2 linked regions of the Nothobranchius furzeri genome follow. The protein of the gene in region 2 interacts with the protein of the main gene of each other region in a pairwise test. Links are inferred from orthologs where the notes say so. Each region holds a gene or a part of one and is shown on either strand. Other genes may lie near its edges.

Region 1 (7,669 bases), on a different chromosome or scaffold from region 2:
AGCTGAGCCTATTTGTTTTTCTTCTCTTTTTGTGCGCAGCAACAGTTCTGCACCTTTCCAGGTCTTCTGACCCGATCTCTCAGGTCCAGTCTCTCCACAGAGAGTTCATATATCGCTGGACTTGTACATGTCCGAGAGAAGTCTGGTGATTGGCACGTTTCCGATGGTCTTCTTGAAGAACACCTCCTCGATGGTGGACGGGCTGACGGAGCGGAGCGCCGGGAGGAGGAGCAGCAATTTCCCAAAACGGCAGGGCTGAGTCGGGTACCTGAAGCGGAGAAACGGAGTCAGAACGCGGCTCCTTTTTGGGATGTCTGAGGCTAAACGTTTTGCTGAAAAGACTCTCTTTAAATTATCTCTGCTCTTACCGCGTGTGGATGTAACTGTTGAGAGTTAGTTGTGCTTCATCTTGAAGCGCAGCGATTGCGCTTGCGTTGCGGAAACTTCTTATTTCAGCGCCGCCTTGCGTGGGAACTGAAACAAGCAGAACAAAGTTCGGATTCGTTTTAAATTCCTAAAGTTTCACTATCCTATTTTATATCTTGGTGAATGAACCCCCACCTGCTTTGAATGTCACGATGCACTTCAAACAGGCGAACTCTGTTGCGTCAAGACGCATCTGTCGGAACCTGGTGACCACTTCTTGGAGCGCTTGAATCTCGGACATGATCTTGTTCATCCTTTGAGACTCTGTGTTTTCAGTGTTCATCCCTTTAATAATAAATATATGGGACATGTGAGCATTAAGGATAACAGAGCTGGACACTTTGGACACTTTTACGCACCAGAGACAGCCAGGAGGGTGGTGGAGTCAACAGGAATGGCCCACTGAGCAATGCCCAGAACAAAAAGTTCCCTCCACGTGTCCTCCAACAGAATCAGCTGCAAAAATAAGATCCTTTTGATTTATCGAATATTAACTTAATCAAAATTCAGTTTTACGGACAAAATCCTAATTTGGGTCTAGAAAAAAGTAATCTAAACTCTAAAACAAACATATTTACAGTGATTGTTCATCTCATAAGTGTACCTGATCAGATAACGGGAGGGTGGAGAAGGCAGGGACACTTTTGGCCCACTTGATGCTCATGAAGAGGAGGCGCGCTGCAGACTCGCACACCGATTCCGTCGCCACCTCGTACAGGTACATGGGGGTTCCGCTGACTTCATGAGGGTACTGCAAACACACAAAGGTGCACGTGCGCAACTAAGACCGAATTCCAAGCTCCAGCGCCTGATTTTATAATCATTAGTGTTGCTTGTGGTGGATTTAAGGGGGGTAAATCTAATTAGCGGATTTATGTTTCTTACAGGATGTAAATCAGGAAAAGAATTTCAACTTCTAACCCTCGAATGAAAGAAAATCCGATAATAAATTTGGAAAAGCCAGAAAAATGCCACAGAAATCAAAATATAACCTGCACATTTACTGTAAAAGCTCAAACTTCCAGTTGAATCACAAAAGAGGAAATATAAAGTAATAGGCATCGCTGACCTTTGGAGTGGGCTGCGCCAGACCCACGATGGCCTGTCTCTCCGGTGTCGTGGCCACTGAGCTCATCTCCAGGTTGTGAGGCTCCAGCTGCGTGACGGTGGTGAAGAAGGGAGGTCCGGACAGTGAAGATCCAGAAAAATGGGTCGAGGAGCCGTTCACCTCTTTGTGGCCACGGAAATAAAGGGCGACCTGTTTGCGGATGGTGGACGTCCGGGGGCCCCTTTCATGCTGAACGGCTGTGAAACGGGACAAGCGGACGTTAATGCGCATTTTAATTTAAAATGATTTTCTTAAAATTGTCAATTATGTGCATAAATTGATTTTAAAAACTTTTATTTGCGCTCCACCAGAGTAGGAACAACATCCTCTTTGAAACAAACAAACAGCAGGTAATTATCTACTTCTTTGGAGACTTGATTAGCAGCTCTAGAAAACTTTTTTTCATCCACCTCGAATCCAAACGCCTCAGCGTGGCGTTAGTCAAAGCGATAATTAAATCAGGCCAATTTACCGTCTTTATTCATGTTCACTTCCAGACACTTTTTCAAACGACACGCTCGGCACTGATTCCTGTGAGTTTTGTCAACGGGACAACCACCCTGCGAAGAAAAAAGAGAGAAAGGGAGAGACAAATTGGGGAGTTGAGTTGGGAGGGGAAAGAAATAGCTTCCAGTTAAAGCCCCCCTCTTGCCATTATCCCCCTGGGAGGCAAATCTGCAGGTAAAAGATCGTGCTATTAGTTCCAGCCCTGCTCCCCCGCGGCTCTAGAGCGGCCTCATCCCGCAGGATAAGTACCTGATCCCGCCCTCTGCCGCCTAAATCCTCGCCTCGGAGTCATCACATTAGATTGGATTACACCTGATATATCAGAGCTGCGCTGTGTTTAGCCCAGGACTTAATGGTGCAGGCATGACACAATTAGGCTCATCAAGGAAGATTTACCACTGAGACCAAGGAAAGGGAGGGAAAAAGAGCTGCACGTAAAAGCGCAATCCGTGCGTAAAGCTAATTATGCGCATTTGGGGACAAAACTGAAACACCTATTCATTTTAGATGATGTTACAAATGCAGCACTATTTGCTCTGATTCAGTTAAAGTTGGAAAATTGTAGATTGCTTGAATTTTTCCACCTGTTTGTTTTTTTTTAATAAAAAGAAAGATCAGAAAATGTGTCAGCCAGTTTCGGGCTCCTCGACGCCTCACCTGTGAGCCAGATTTACAGACGTAGGTCCGGTTTCTGCGGATGCTCCTCTTGAAGAATCCCGAACAGCCGTCACACGCGTAAACCCCGTAGTGTTTCCCTGAGCTGCGATCGCCGCACACCTTACACGGGATGTCCAGAATCCGACCTTGGAGAAGCCAGAAGGTTTATCAGAAAAGAGCCAAACCACCAGATGGATGAAATTACGGATATATTAAATAGCTTTCCTGCAACTCCCAGAAAATGTAGTTTTAAAAGGCCTCAGTGACTCGTTTATCCAGATCTTGGCCTGAGCATGGGAATTCACAGTATTTCCAGAATAAAGTCCGGTGGGAAGCGTCATATCTGAACTCTCTAAGACAATGACCGCGGGCGCACAATGGAGACATTAAGGGAAAGTGTTAACTTAATGATTTTCCCCCATTGAACCTCGTCTGACTGCCTGGATCTCGACAAGCTGCCAACTCCACTTCATAATGGGACTCGACAGCTGCTTTATCCCGCAGGTCTATAGGCCCCAGGATTAGGGAGTGACACTGCACCAGCAGAATAATGCGTACCAACTCGTTTCACCAACTCAAATGAAGTGTATGTAAATCCACCTCAGTGTAGCTGAAAAAAGTGATTTTTTTTGGTCTGCAGATTTGTATTCAAATCTCTTAAAAAGAAGTATATTTGTATGCATATGAGGGAGCCTCTGTGGAGGGAAAAGCCGTCTATGTAATTACACTGACGTTTTGCCACCTGCTCATTGATTCACCAGTGACCCGTCAAAAAGGGTAGCATGGGAATCACTACTCAAGAGCAAAAACAATGACTTCAGGGGGGAGTTAGAGGACTCCGGCTGGATGTTTGTTCTCAATCAGAAACTCGTGCAGGATTTAGTTTTAGCTTTAAACCACAATTACGCACTTATTAGAGATTTATGAACTTTTAGGGTTTTAAAATATATTTGTTTTTGAACATTTAAAGAAAATTGTAAACAAATAAAAATAAGAATTTAAAACAGACGCTGGTGGCTTTCGTTGTAATAATAATAATATTAAAATTATACAGTTTGTTGTGAAAGGAGGAACTGCATTTAACTTCCCGCTTCCGGAGTCCGGTGCGTCTCTATTGTGCGCAGTAATTGCTTGAAAATATATGGCACGTTTCATTAAGGTAATCACCATCAAGGAAGAAAGCTGCTGGATGTCTGGAAAAGGAGCTTTATCGACGAGGAGGAAAACTTGATCAGTTCATCTGATTTTTAAAAATAAACAAAAGAAATAAAAAAATAAAAGTAGATTATAAAAGGTGTTGCAAAAATCTGACAATAGAAACACGCCAAAGCAAAAGTCACTGGTTAAATTATAACTATTAAATAGACTGATTCCACAAAACATTCGTTTTTTGGCCTTTTTTATTATTTAAATATGTATTTTGTTGATTTTTTTAAACGATGTACAGATTAAAAAATACTATTAAGGGTTTAATTCACCAAAGCATTTCAGGTGTATTAGGTTAATACACTGAAGCCCATTTTTATCATTGAAGTTTCATTACTATATAATAAAACAGACCCATTTTAGGTCTAAAGTTCAATTCAAAAGATCAAGAATTAAATTATTTGATCCATTAATTTAAAAAAGTTATAAGAATAACAAATCTGAGCAACAAGTGGCATCAACTTCTGAAGAGGAATATAGAAACATATTTTTGGCCAATAAATGAAAAATATATGTCTTATTTGTTATTTATAACAAAAAATACAGATTATATTTTTGGCAGAGACAAAATCTAATTTAAATTTTAATTATTTAACGTACAAAATTTCTAGTGAGAATGAAGTAGTTAATTTATAAGGAAACTGGTGCAAACAGTGCGCAGAAACTTTATCAGAGAGGGGCCTTTTGGGTAACTTCTGAAACAGCTCAGGGGAGAAGATGCGTAAAACTTACTTGATTTGACATTCAGAATATCCAAACAGCCACTTGTTGACCCGGCGGGTTTGCTCATCGTGGATCCTCGGTCTCTTACCGACTCAGAAACAAACAGCTCTGCTGTTTTTTCTTTTTTTCTCCTGATAAACCCACTTGGAAACCAGCGACGCCGCTGCGCTTTCTGTGGTTCCTCACCAGCAGCGATGAGCGTGGTTGCGTCTAAGTCCCAGCTTGACAGAAGCGACCTCAGATCGACACATCCAAGTTAAAACTCGCTGCACTTTCCTCTCTGGAGAATCCGGATGAGAGCCACAGCCGGTGCGGAAGTGGCAGCAGACCCTCCGGCAGCTTCGTGCGCAACAGCGCGCGCATAAAGTTGGAGGAGGTGTGGGGACAAACCAACATAAATATGAAAAAAAAAAAGAATCAAAATCACTGCCTGGAGCGCGTCCGACGGAGCCGAAGCCGCAAGTGGAAGGAAAAAGTGAAATATTGATTCTTGTTTTGGTGAAAGTGCGCGAGAAGCGGAGCGCGACGTGACTTAGTGGTGCGAGTCCCCTCTGGATCAGTCTTGGTAATATTTATGAGAAGTGTCAGGGGGAGGCTAGAGGGTGGAGATCTCCACTTCCTTCATCCCCTTGGCTTTCTACACCAAACTCAAGTCTGACGTCACGCGCGCGCACACGTATGTGCTGCGATTCATAGAGGGGAAGGCAGGAGTTATTATTTTGCAGTATTTCATCCTGTGGTCTATCATTGTATTTTATTTAAAATTCTGCAGCCGGATAAAAACAAAATTACATAAAAATAGACTGATTCTAATTTTCCCCACATTTTTATAAAAACGAGTAAAAAAGAGTTTTCTAACCTATAAAAGAACATTTTAGAGCTCCAGATCCAATTATATTTGCTAAAATAAATTGATAAAAAGTGATTCTCACACCTGTTTCCGCTCCATTTTTACAGCTTAATGATTTTGTTTCTAATGCAGACAGTTCTCCTGAGCCTAGAGGAAACAACTTTTCACTTGTAACACATATGAAAATTAATAAGATAAACATGCTATGAACGTGGCCACATACATCAATGAATTAAAAGTTATCCTCTTGTCTTTTCTCTTGAGGACTTTTCCTTTTAGGGGGCGGTTCCGTGCACTTTTCTCTTGTTCAGGGCTCGTTTTAAAGCCACGGCGAGCTTCAGCGCGCGCAGCGTTTTTCAACCTGTTGCACGTGTTTAAAGAAGGCTTTTATTTTTCAGTCTGTTTGAACCGGAGCCTGTTAAAGGTTTTTTTTTTTGCAATCGATTCAATAATGAGGTAGATCTGAGGGGCAGAGACTTATTAAAAAGCAGCAATTTTATTTAAATTATTATTTTTAATCTAAAAATATTTAAAAAATCAGAATCCTTTGGAAAAATAAAATAAATCATCAGATGTTAAAAAGGAGGATTTAAAAATTAATTCAGAAAATGTCAACTCTTTCATCACTGCAATTTAATACAAATATTTAGGAGATAAATATGGGGAAAATGCTAAAATATACAGAAAACACAATAAACAAACACATAAATAAATAAAACATACAAACAAACAAATAAATAAATAAATAAACTGATAAATAAATAAATGTTTGCCATTCACAATATTTCTCTGAACTTTCTTCAAAAATGGTTTTGAATTGTTTCCGGCAGACTTTGTGCTCTTTGTTTTGTCATGTTCTGCATCCTGCGTCCCCCTCATGTGCCTTCTTGTGTTCCCCAGCCCACTCCAGGTTTTCCCCTAGGTGTTCTCCTTAGGTTTCTGTGCCCCTTTAGGTCTGCAGCTCCCTCCCGGTTTCCCCTTAGTGACTTCAGATTTAGTTATCCCATCCTTCTTAGTGTTTTTCTTCTGGTGTCTAGTTTTCAGGTTTAGGAGTTCACTTATCTTTAGTTCGCTGCAGATTAAGTCAGTTTCCCCACTCAGTTAATTAGACTCACCTGATCCCTTATGATCTCACTCCCCACACACCTGTCACCTGTTTCCCTGATTGTTTCCCTCTGTGTATATAACCCTGCCTGTTGTCGGTCCGTCGTTTGTGTCAGCGTTGTCTCCATTCCCTCTCTTGGTCTCTAAGGCGCAACAACCAACATGAATGATTTAGTTTACTGTTTCTTTGGACGTTAAAGTGGTTTGGGGGAGGCGGGGCTTACGTCGCCCTCCTGTGTGATACTGGAACTCCAGACTGCGTGTGTCCCGGCTCGGTTCGGTCCGGGGTCAGCGCAGGCCCTGCAGTGCCCGCTCCCTGACACCCTGACCTTGACAGCTTGCTGTGCCTTCGCAGGGTAACTCCGCAGATCCATATTCCGTTTTTAATTGTGTTCATTCCCACGCTGCACCGAGGGCCATATGGACTCACAAAGTGTCGATTTAAGCGGAGGAGCAGGGCCGAGGCGGAGAGGCGGAGTTAATTGCAATTTGCCATTGTTGTGTCCGCCGACCTGCTACTGCTGGAGCCTAACGAGCCGGAGCAGAAATCAGCGCACTAACTCTCCTGAATGAAGAGTTTGGCTTTCAACCGGAAGTTTGTTGTCTTTTAGTTTTCCCAATAAAACGGCTTTTAATAATTACTTATAAGAAAGATTCCCCAATTTGTGGTGTGCGCGCGCGCGCACGCACGTGTGTATGTATGTGTGTGTGTGGGTGGCTGTCAGGGTGTGTGAATGGTGAATGTGTGACATAATCTCCTTAACTCGTCCTAATCCTCGTCATTCACCGATAGCCTTTACCCAAACATAACCAGCATCATGGTTGCCGGGGCTTCCCTCTTTCACGTTCTTCTATGAGTGACTCCCTTCTTCTCCAGCAGTCAATGAAAGCACGCGGACAAAAGGCGGACTGGATTGTGTATCTGTTTTCTTGGATGGGGGGGTTCTGCATCAGTATGCAGATACTTGACATGCTCTAGGATGGACTCTAACAACGAAGAGTCTGATAAAGTCAACCAGAGAGACCACACGTGTGTGCTCTATGAGCTGCAGAAAGCAGCTTTAAGACGTCACAATATCATAATAAAT
Region 2 (7,478 bases):
CCTGAGCGTTCGCCGCTGAGCCGATCCCGACCGTTCCAGTGGAAAAATAACGCCGACCTGCTGTTGTCACGGGAACTCTGCTGCACGACGATCTAAAGGAGCAAAGACGTGCATGTTTGAACAGCTGACAGGGCCGAGAGGCGCGTGTGTGTCGGGGGCTGCCTAACCAACATGAGACCACATCAGCAGCTAACGCGCTACAGCACAGCGAGTGATGGAGCACTTCTCGTGTGTTTAGCCTGGATTGGCTTCAAGTGAAATCACAACTGCCCAGACAATCAGCACACTGGCACTCGCGCTTAGTGCCTTTAAAGAGCAAGTCACCCCCAAATAAACTTTTTTTTTGCTGATAAACTAAATAAACGAGTGTCTAACCGTGCTGCAGACACGTGTCGTCAATAATTTGGCACTTCAGTGCATCTTAGTTAAAATTTAAATATTCTGCCTAAAACTGGCAGTGTTGCGCCGTTGTCAGGTAAAAACTCTGCACTGTATTTGAATTTAAATCTGCCACTGCTATTGGCTAAGAGGTATGCTATGATGTAAACTGGTACATTATGATGTCACAATGCTGTCGTGAGCCTGTGTGTGTGTGTATTTGTTAGCAGCTCCGCCTTCTCGGTGTGCCAGGCAACAGCATTTGTTGCATTTTTCAAACATGAAGTGAGAGTGGAGTTAGACTCTGGCAGGGGGTGACTTGCTCTTTAAGGAACGGAACAAACATTCAAACGTGCTGGTCAGAGCCAGCCCTCCTCCCTCCCGCTCTACAAATCAGAACACACGGGACGCTGCATGTTTCACAGCCACTCGTGTTGTCGCTGCAGCTTCGTTTGGCTCCCGTGGACGACCGGCAAACCGGCGAGATGCCTTAGGAAGTCCTTCATCACTCAAATCAGCAAAACACCCACAATTAGTGGCTGCAGAGTTCCTCAAATAAACACTTCTTCACTGACAGATAATTACATTCTTCTCTATCGCTTTTTATTTTAGAATCAGAGCGAGTCTTTGCAGGCGCATATTTGAGGGCAGAGAGATAAAGCATGACAGAGTAACGAGCCAGAAAGGGCCGGGGACACGTCTCCGAGCACCACATCAGAGGTCCACGCAGCGCCGGAGCACATCTGTGAGGCAGGACCAACTCATCTCCCTGTGTGTGTGTGTGTGTGTGTGTGTGTGTGTGTGTGTGTGTGTGTGTGTGTGTGTGTGTGTGTGTGTGTGTGTGTGTATTCATTGTCTCCACATGTTTCCCCGTTCTCACAATCGTTTTCAGGATGGCTGGTCTTCATTTAGGTTCATGACTCAGCTGGGAAACCTCACGGTTCCCAAGCGCAGCCGCGGGTATTTTACACCCTGTTTATGCAGATTTTATACATCCAAATTACCAGAAGCAGAGGCAAGCACATCTCAGGGAGCATTTGTTTCCTCCTGGAATAAACTCTACCTGAACCCTAGAAAAGGTTTTCCCTCGCTGCTCGTCCGTTTACCTGTAGCGTTCTCCTGCTTGGGGATTATTCCTTGCAAAGGTGCAGATAAACAATCCTCATCCAGCAACGATATCTGGACCGCCACCTCCACGGGGTGGCGCGCCCTCCGCGGGTGCTGGGTTCGAGAGTGCGATGAGGATGTGGAGAGGGGTGAGGCGAGCGGGGAGGATGGCGGCCTGTCCAGAGGTTTGTCCCCGCAGAGGGTGCCGTGGCACTGTCTCCGTTTGTGTTCGATGAACAGCAGGATGTCGGCCAGGGGGAAGCGGGTGTGGCACTGGCCGCAGGTGAGCAGGTCCTGGTCCCCTTTCAGGAGGTCGCCCTGAGCCAAGCCCAGCCTGGGGGAGTCCTGAGAGTCTCTTTCTGCTAGAACACCTGAGAGCGGCTCAGCTGGAGGGGCGCACAAGAGAAGAGAAATCAGTTGTCATTTAAAGGTTTTATTAGTGTCTGAGTCTCAAGCTGCAACAATCCTTACACGTTTTACAGGAATAGGGTCAGTTTTAAACCGTGCATGTGACATTTTCACGAGGGGGGGAGGTGAAAAGAGCTTCGATGAGGACTGACATGCTCAGCTCGCAGGCAGCAGTCAAACGATTAAGTTGCTTGACCCTCTTTTATTGTGCTGCCAATCTCGCTTTTTTAATGAACCTAACACCTCTGAGAATCAAAAAATAGATTCTAATTTGAGTTCAAGATGATTGGACCCCATTTCGTTAAAAGTGCTGGGATCTTTGTGAACCAAGGTGAGACATGGAGGGGCTGGATGTGGAGTAGGTCCCTGAAGTGCCGCAGAGAGGAGAGAGGGAGCGGTTTACAGGGAAGGAATCTTAGCCGCGTGGTAAACGACATCGGGCGCCCCGACTGAGACGTCGAGATAAGATGTGAAGAATTCTCGCCGCCGGTTCAGCCTTTAATTCTGTACGGGGTCAGACGAGACGGTGGTGAGATAGGGCCTGGTACTCGTGTGTTCAGCTGCATTAAAGATGAAGGAATGCGCCCGATTTCACCGCAGCTTATCTTAACCGGCTTAGGCCGCAGACAGGTGAGGCGGGGAAGGAGGAAACGTTCTCGTCAAACCAAATCATCTCATTCTGATGCCAAGCCAGACGGCTCTGAATAACTTTAGAAACATGATTCTTTTCTCACTGGGCCAGAATATGAAGAAGAAGAAGAAGAAGAAGAAGAAGAAAGTATCATTTCTATAGCTTCTCTCAAGGTAAAAATCACGAGGCGCTTCACAAAAACAAAAATTGTAAAAATATTTTAAAAAGAATTTAGAAAATGTTTAAAAATATATTTAAAATGAGCAAAAATAGACAATTGTGATTAAAAATGTTAAGAAAGAGAGATAAAGTGAACAGGAAAGAGGGAAATCAGTGGATCTGAGGAAGGTGGAATAGGTGGGGAGAGCAGAATAAAGAGAGTGGTGAAGACGGTCATACAAAAGCCAGCTTGAACAAGTGAGTCTTCAGCTGCTTTCTGAAGGAGGTTAGGAAGGAGTTTCCCACCGGGCTCCTGCAGCACGTCGGTTTCATCATCAGGAAAATCATTCAGCCTCCTTTTGTTTGCCATTTTAGACCAACAGCAGTCCCTTTATTAACACCGGATCAATAACGCCACTCTGAAAAGGCCAAAGGGACGGATTTAATGCACGTTTTTCTGCAAAACACAGTTTCAAACACTGTCTGTTTTATAGAAAACCGTGTCAGTTATCTCCAGGATGAGCCTGAAAGTCCTACAGATGCAAACTGTTCCCATCTACTCCGATTTTTTTTTAGCTTATCTTTGGAACAATTTGACCTCAATGCTGTTTGGATTTCTTCAATGTCTAGTTTTGTTTTTCTCTCCTGAAAAAAGGACCAAACATTAAAAATGCAATTCCTTATTTCTGCTAAAACGACCCTTTGCACACGCTTGGTTAAGCAGAACAGGGATGAAGTGGATCAAGTTCAGGTTGGTGAGGGGGGCCATAGGACCACAATCATGGCACGCCCCCCACTGGCCACACTCCCCACAGCTGTCCGAGGAATCATGAGCAGGAAATCTTCAGCAGCATGCAGGAACACATCTACACCAACAAAAGCCCAAATGGTCAGAATAACCTTCAAAACGCAGTTTTGGTTTTCTTCTATCACGTTCTGGCGACGAAACGAAAACATGAGCGTTAGAAGATGTTTCCACGTGCGAACGGGGAGCCCTGGTGAGGCAGTTTGGGGCTTCCTGGTCTCGTTTGTTACCCCCTTCATTAAGGATCTCCACAGTGCGTAAAAGCTCCAATCTAGAGCCAGCCTGCGTTTTGTTCCACGTGCGTAAAACGAGATTTCTGACGTTTGCTGCCCCCTCCAAACAGGTTCATGCGCGGATCTTTATGGAAATGCACCAAAGACACTGAAGGCTAACGTTAAATGAGGATTTTGTTGTAAAATATCAAATTTCATTTCTTTTTTTTCCTTTCCAGGTGCCGCACGCCGCGCCCCTGCGCTTCCAGGAGGGAGTAGACACAACTTCTGTGTCCAAACAGCCGCACATTTGTGCGGAAATGTTCAGTAAGGACGGGATTTAAAAGCCCTGGAAGTTGGAAGTGAATGACCGCAGCGGTGAGTCCGCGCTGCCTTCATTCAACCAAAGGTCTCCGCTCACGAAGCGCGTGCGTGCCCTTTAAAAGAAACCTTGAGCGAGTCGCTCACTAACTCCAGTCAAAGCTTTCTGTCACGTTGTTTTCAAACTTCCACCGGAAGATTCAGCTGAGAACAACCTGCGTTTTTTAGGTTTTCGCACCGGACAGCCGCGTCCTCGTCCGCGCATTCCCCAGGGAAGTCACCCCCCCACCCCCCCGAACAGGAAAATAAGCATAAACAAACAAAGAAGTGGACCTCCGAGAGGTAAAAAGCCGTTTGTTCCCACTTACGCGAAAACTCCCGTTTGCTCAAGTGCTGGGGTTTGCCCTGCTTGCGGCGAGACATGGTCGGTTAGTGGCGGCTCCTCAGCTGGGTTCACATCGGGAAATCCGTTCCTAAAAGGTAGACTCCAAATGGAATATCTTCATTCACGCGTCTGTCATCCAGACAGGAGGAAATGAAGGCGAGATCATACAGAGCGTGATGCGTAACGCGCGACGGGCTGTGCGGCGCTCTTCATGACTTCTGCGCAAAGAGAGAGTGATGGGGGACGGTGAAGCCCCCTTAGCTGCAAGTTCAACTGCGGACGTGACGTTCCTTCGAACTTGAACGTCAGGCGCTGGACGGACCGAGACACAGAAAACATGGGCAGGGCGAAGCAGGCCAGTGGGAGGGGGGCAAGCCTTAATAAAAGCCAATGGACACTCATTATGGACTACCTATGGACGGGAGGAAAGAAGAGACACCCTGAAGACACCAATGGACGAAGGGGATCAAGGGGGGCTGGGCTTCGGGAGTAGGAGTAGCGAGAACGCAGCGCGCAGAGCGCGCAGGGGAGGATCACCTAGATCTGGCTGGATGAATATTCAGCGCGTATGAAAATGTGGATTTGGGTTTTATCAGCATGAGAAATGTTGGTTTCATTCATACAACTGAATGAAAGTGTTTGGAAAAGTTTTTATTTCATTTTAGGTACGTTTGGATTTTAGTGTGAAGAAGATTGCTCATCAAGTCATGTTCTCAAGATTATTTATTTATTTATTTATTTATTTATTTATTTATTTATTTATTTATTTATTCATATAGCACTTAATCATACAATGATCATGATGTGATTTCATCGTTTATATTTGTATCAATTATCTCTAAAATTATCGGTATGGCAATAATCTCCACACACGGCAAATACTTTCAAATTAAAACCAATTTTACACACCAAAAACATTTGCCCTTTCACAATAAAAGATCTAACCAGGTAGAGGCTCTTTGTTGTTATTTTTTATTTGCTGCCCAGCTTTACGGGCCAGGTTTACTGTATTTGTATTTATTATTAACCCTTATTTAACCAGGGGAATCCTGTGAGATCGAGTCGAGTCTCTTTGGCGAAGCTGCCCTGAGGCCAGGCCTTTTTTAGAATACCAGCAGATGAGAGAAAACGATTAAAACTTCGGTCTGAGGTCTTTGTTTTTAACATTTGTTTTCATCACAGCTGTTTGATATTAAAGTATGTGCTGCTCCACATCTCCACGTCTCTATTATAGAGTCTCCGTGAAGTTTCTTCTCTTTAGCCTAAAAAGCATCATTTAGACTACGTGAGCGTCTGGCCCAGCTTCCTAACCCAATGAGTCTATTTAAGATGTTTTAACTTGAAAAAGTGGGACAAGCCGCGTTAATGAGAGCTGAGTTAAGACAAGGGTGTGCTACAGAACCAACATAAAACACCCGGATTGGTCAGCTGGGCCGTAACACCTGAGATCTTATTCTAGTAGGTGTTGGAAGAAAAATAACCTCGTTGTGTTATCTGACTTGATTTCTGATGTTCTAAACAAATCTGATATCTTTGTTCAATTTGATGTGAATGAAATCTTGTGAAGTTTAACCCTTCCCCTGTCCTATCAGGTGACCCCAGGACAGGAGCGGTTTAGTGTTGATGGTGTGACCCTTGGCAAGGGTGAAGAGGTGAATAAAATTAAAAAAAATAACACCCGGGGCCCATCTGACCCAATTAACAATGCGGGAGGGTTAAACCTGATAATAAACGGATTTCAACAGCTTTATTCCGGTTTCACTCTTCATCCCAGCTCGGCGCGTTAGCGCCATCTAGTGGTCATGTGTCATATCTGTTTAACTGGAAAATTAAAGTTAAAAATCCCCAACATGTAGAATTATAAACCTGAATAAAAACGTTAACAGCTCTATTGTCTCAAACCTGGACGGAGACGTTCGTCTGAAGTCCATTTTATACTTAGTTTGTGTTTTTATGTTTCTTTTATAATTTTTGTTCTAAATGTTTTTATCAACAAGTTGTTATCGTCTCAATTAAAACGTCTTAAATTTATGTTATAGAAATTGAGCTTAACTATGACTATAACGAATTTCTTCCTTAGTGTAAGTGTGAGGTTGGAAAAAACTGAACAAAGATAGAAGTGTTTTATTATTAATTAGGTTATTAATAGTTAAACCTAATGATTTAGGGTTGCTCATCCCAAAGTCACCCAAATATCATGATGGGTCTGTTTAACACATCTCTTTTGTCAGCGGGCAGCGCCCTTTTTTAAATTTCTTCAGGGATTTTCTAGCTATTGCTATTATTAGAGATGTAAGACAACACCTTAACAGATCATCTACAGACGACCACGTCATCCTTCTTGATTATCACTAAGTCATGGGTGTGTCCAAATCCAGGCTGCACCCTTCAAGGAAGCGGTCTACCTGGTCGACATAGGCTGGGTTCTTCGTCGACCAGGTAGACCGGAAACAAGCAGCTGTGAACTTGGACGGTCTGGCCTTTATTTATTCCCAGCTCCACCTCGGCGAAGACCCTTTCATCTAGCAATCATGACAACCCTGAACCAGCTGCAGAGAATGGAGATAGAACGTTTGTCTAGAGTTTTCATTTCTTGGAGGAGTCACAGCAGTTGTACTTCAGATAAAATCTCTGTTAAATTACTTTAAAAGCCCTGAATCTAAACTTTTTAATGGAGCAATATGTAAGAATTTTACAATGAAATGATCACAGACCCGTCTACTGTCTCGGTCATGTTGGAGGGAAGGTTTTACTGAAACAGATTTGATTCTTAGCCGGCTGGTTGTCAGTTTTTCTCCTTTAAAACGACAAAGTAGACGTTTCCACTGTGAGTTTGTGAGGTTGATGAGTCTGCGCTGAGCTAAAGCTACTGTGCATTTGTCATTCGACTCCATCAGGCAAGAGATTCAGAGCTGTTTAAAGAACTGAAGCCAGTAAACAGGAGCGACCCAGAAGTTAGTTCCTGCACCCCTCAGACACCACGCCATCTTTTTGTTTCACTTTAATATTAGGTTAAGCAGACTAGAGGCTAACATTTAGCTAACAATGCTAATGGTTCATTAGAGTCAGTTC

What was found.
Region 1: the proteins of B-cell lymphoma/leukemia 11A (region 2) and nr2e1 interact in a two-hybrid assay, tested with the Homo sapiens proteins (2 studies listed by BioGRID). The link is inferred for Nothobranchius furzeri from reciprocal best matches to the Homo sapiens genes BCL11A and NR2E1.

What each region holds. Positions count from the first base shown.
Region 1 is NC_091742.1:2,364,698-2,372,366, reverse strand, and holds the start of nr2e1 (nuclear receptor subfamily 2 group E member 1), read right to left. Parts: upstream 4,881-7,669; 5' UTR 4,695-4,880; coding exon 4,637-4,694; intron 2,845-4,636; coding exon 2,699-2,844; intron 2,095-2,698; coding exon 2,007-2,094; intron 1,732-2,006; coding exon 1,496-1,731; intron 1,178-1,495; coding exon 1,031-1,177; intron 883-1,030; coding exon 786-882; intron 712-785; coding exon 562-711; intron 475-561; coding exon 369-474; intron 269-368; coding exon 106-268; 3' UTR 1-105. UniProt on the Homo sapiens protein: Orphan receptor that binds DNA as a monomer to hormone response elements (HRE) containing an extended core motif half-site sequence 5'-AAGGTCA-3' in which the 5' flanking nucleotides participate in determining receptor specificity.
Region 2 is NC_091746.1:23,914,336-23,921,813, reverse strand, and holds the start of B-cell lymphoma/leukemia 11A, read right to left. Parts: upstream 4,790-7,478; 5' UTR 4,445-4,789; coding exon 4,390-4,444; exon of another isoform or gene 3,940-4,389; intron 2,698-3,939; exon of another isoform or gene 2,636-2,697; intron 2,524-2,635; exon of another isoform or gene 2,396-2,523; intron 1,872-2,395; coding exon 1,485-1,871; intron 1-1,484. UniProt on the Homo sapiens protein: Transcription factor. Associated with the BAF SWI/SNF chromatin remodeling complex. Binds to the 5'-TGACCA-3' sequence motif in regulatory regions of target genes, including a distal promoter of the HBG1 hemoglobin subunit gamma-1 gene.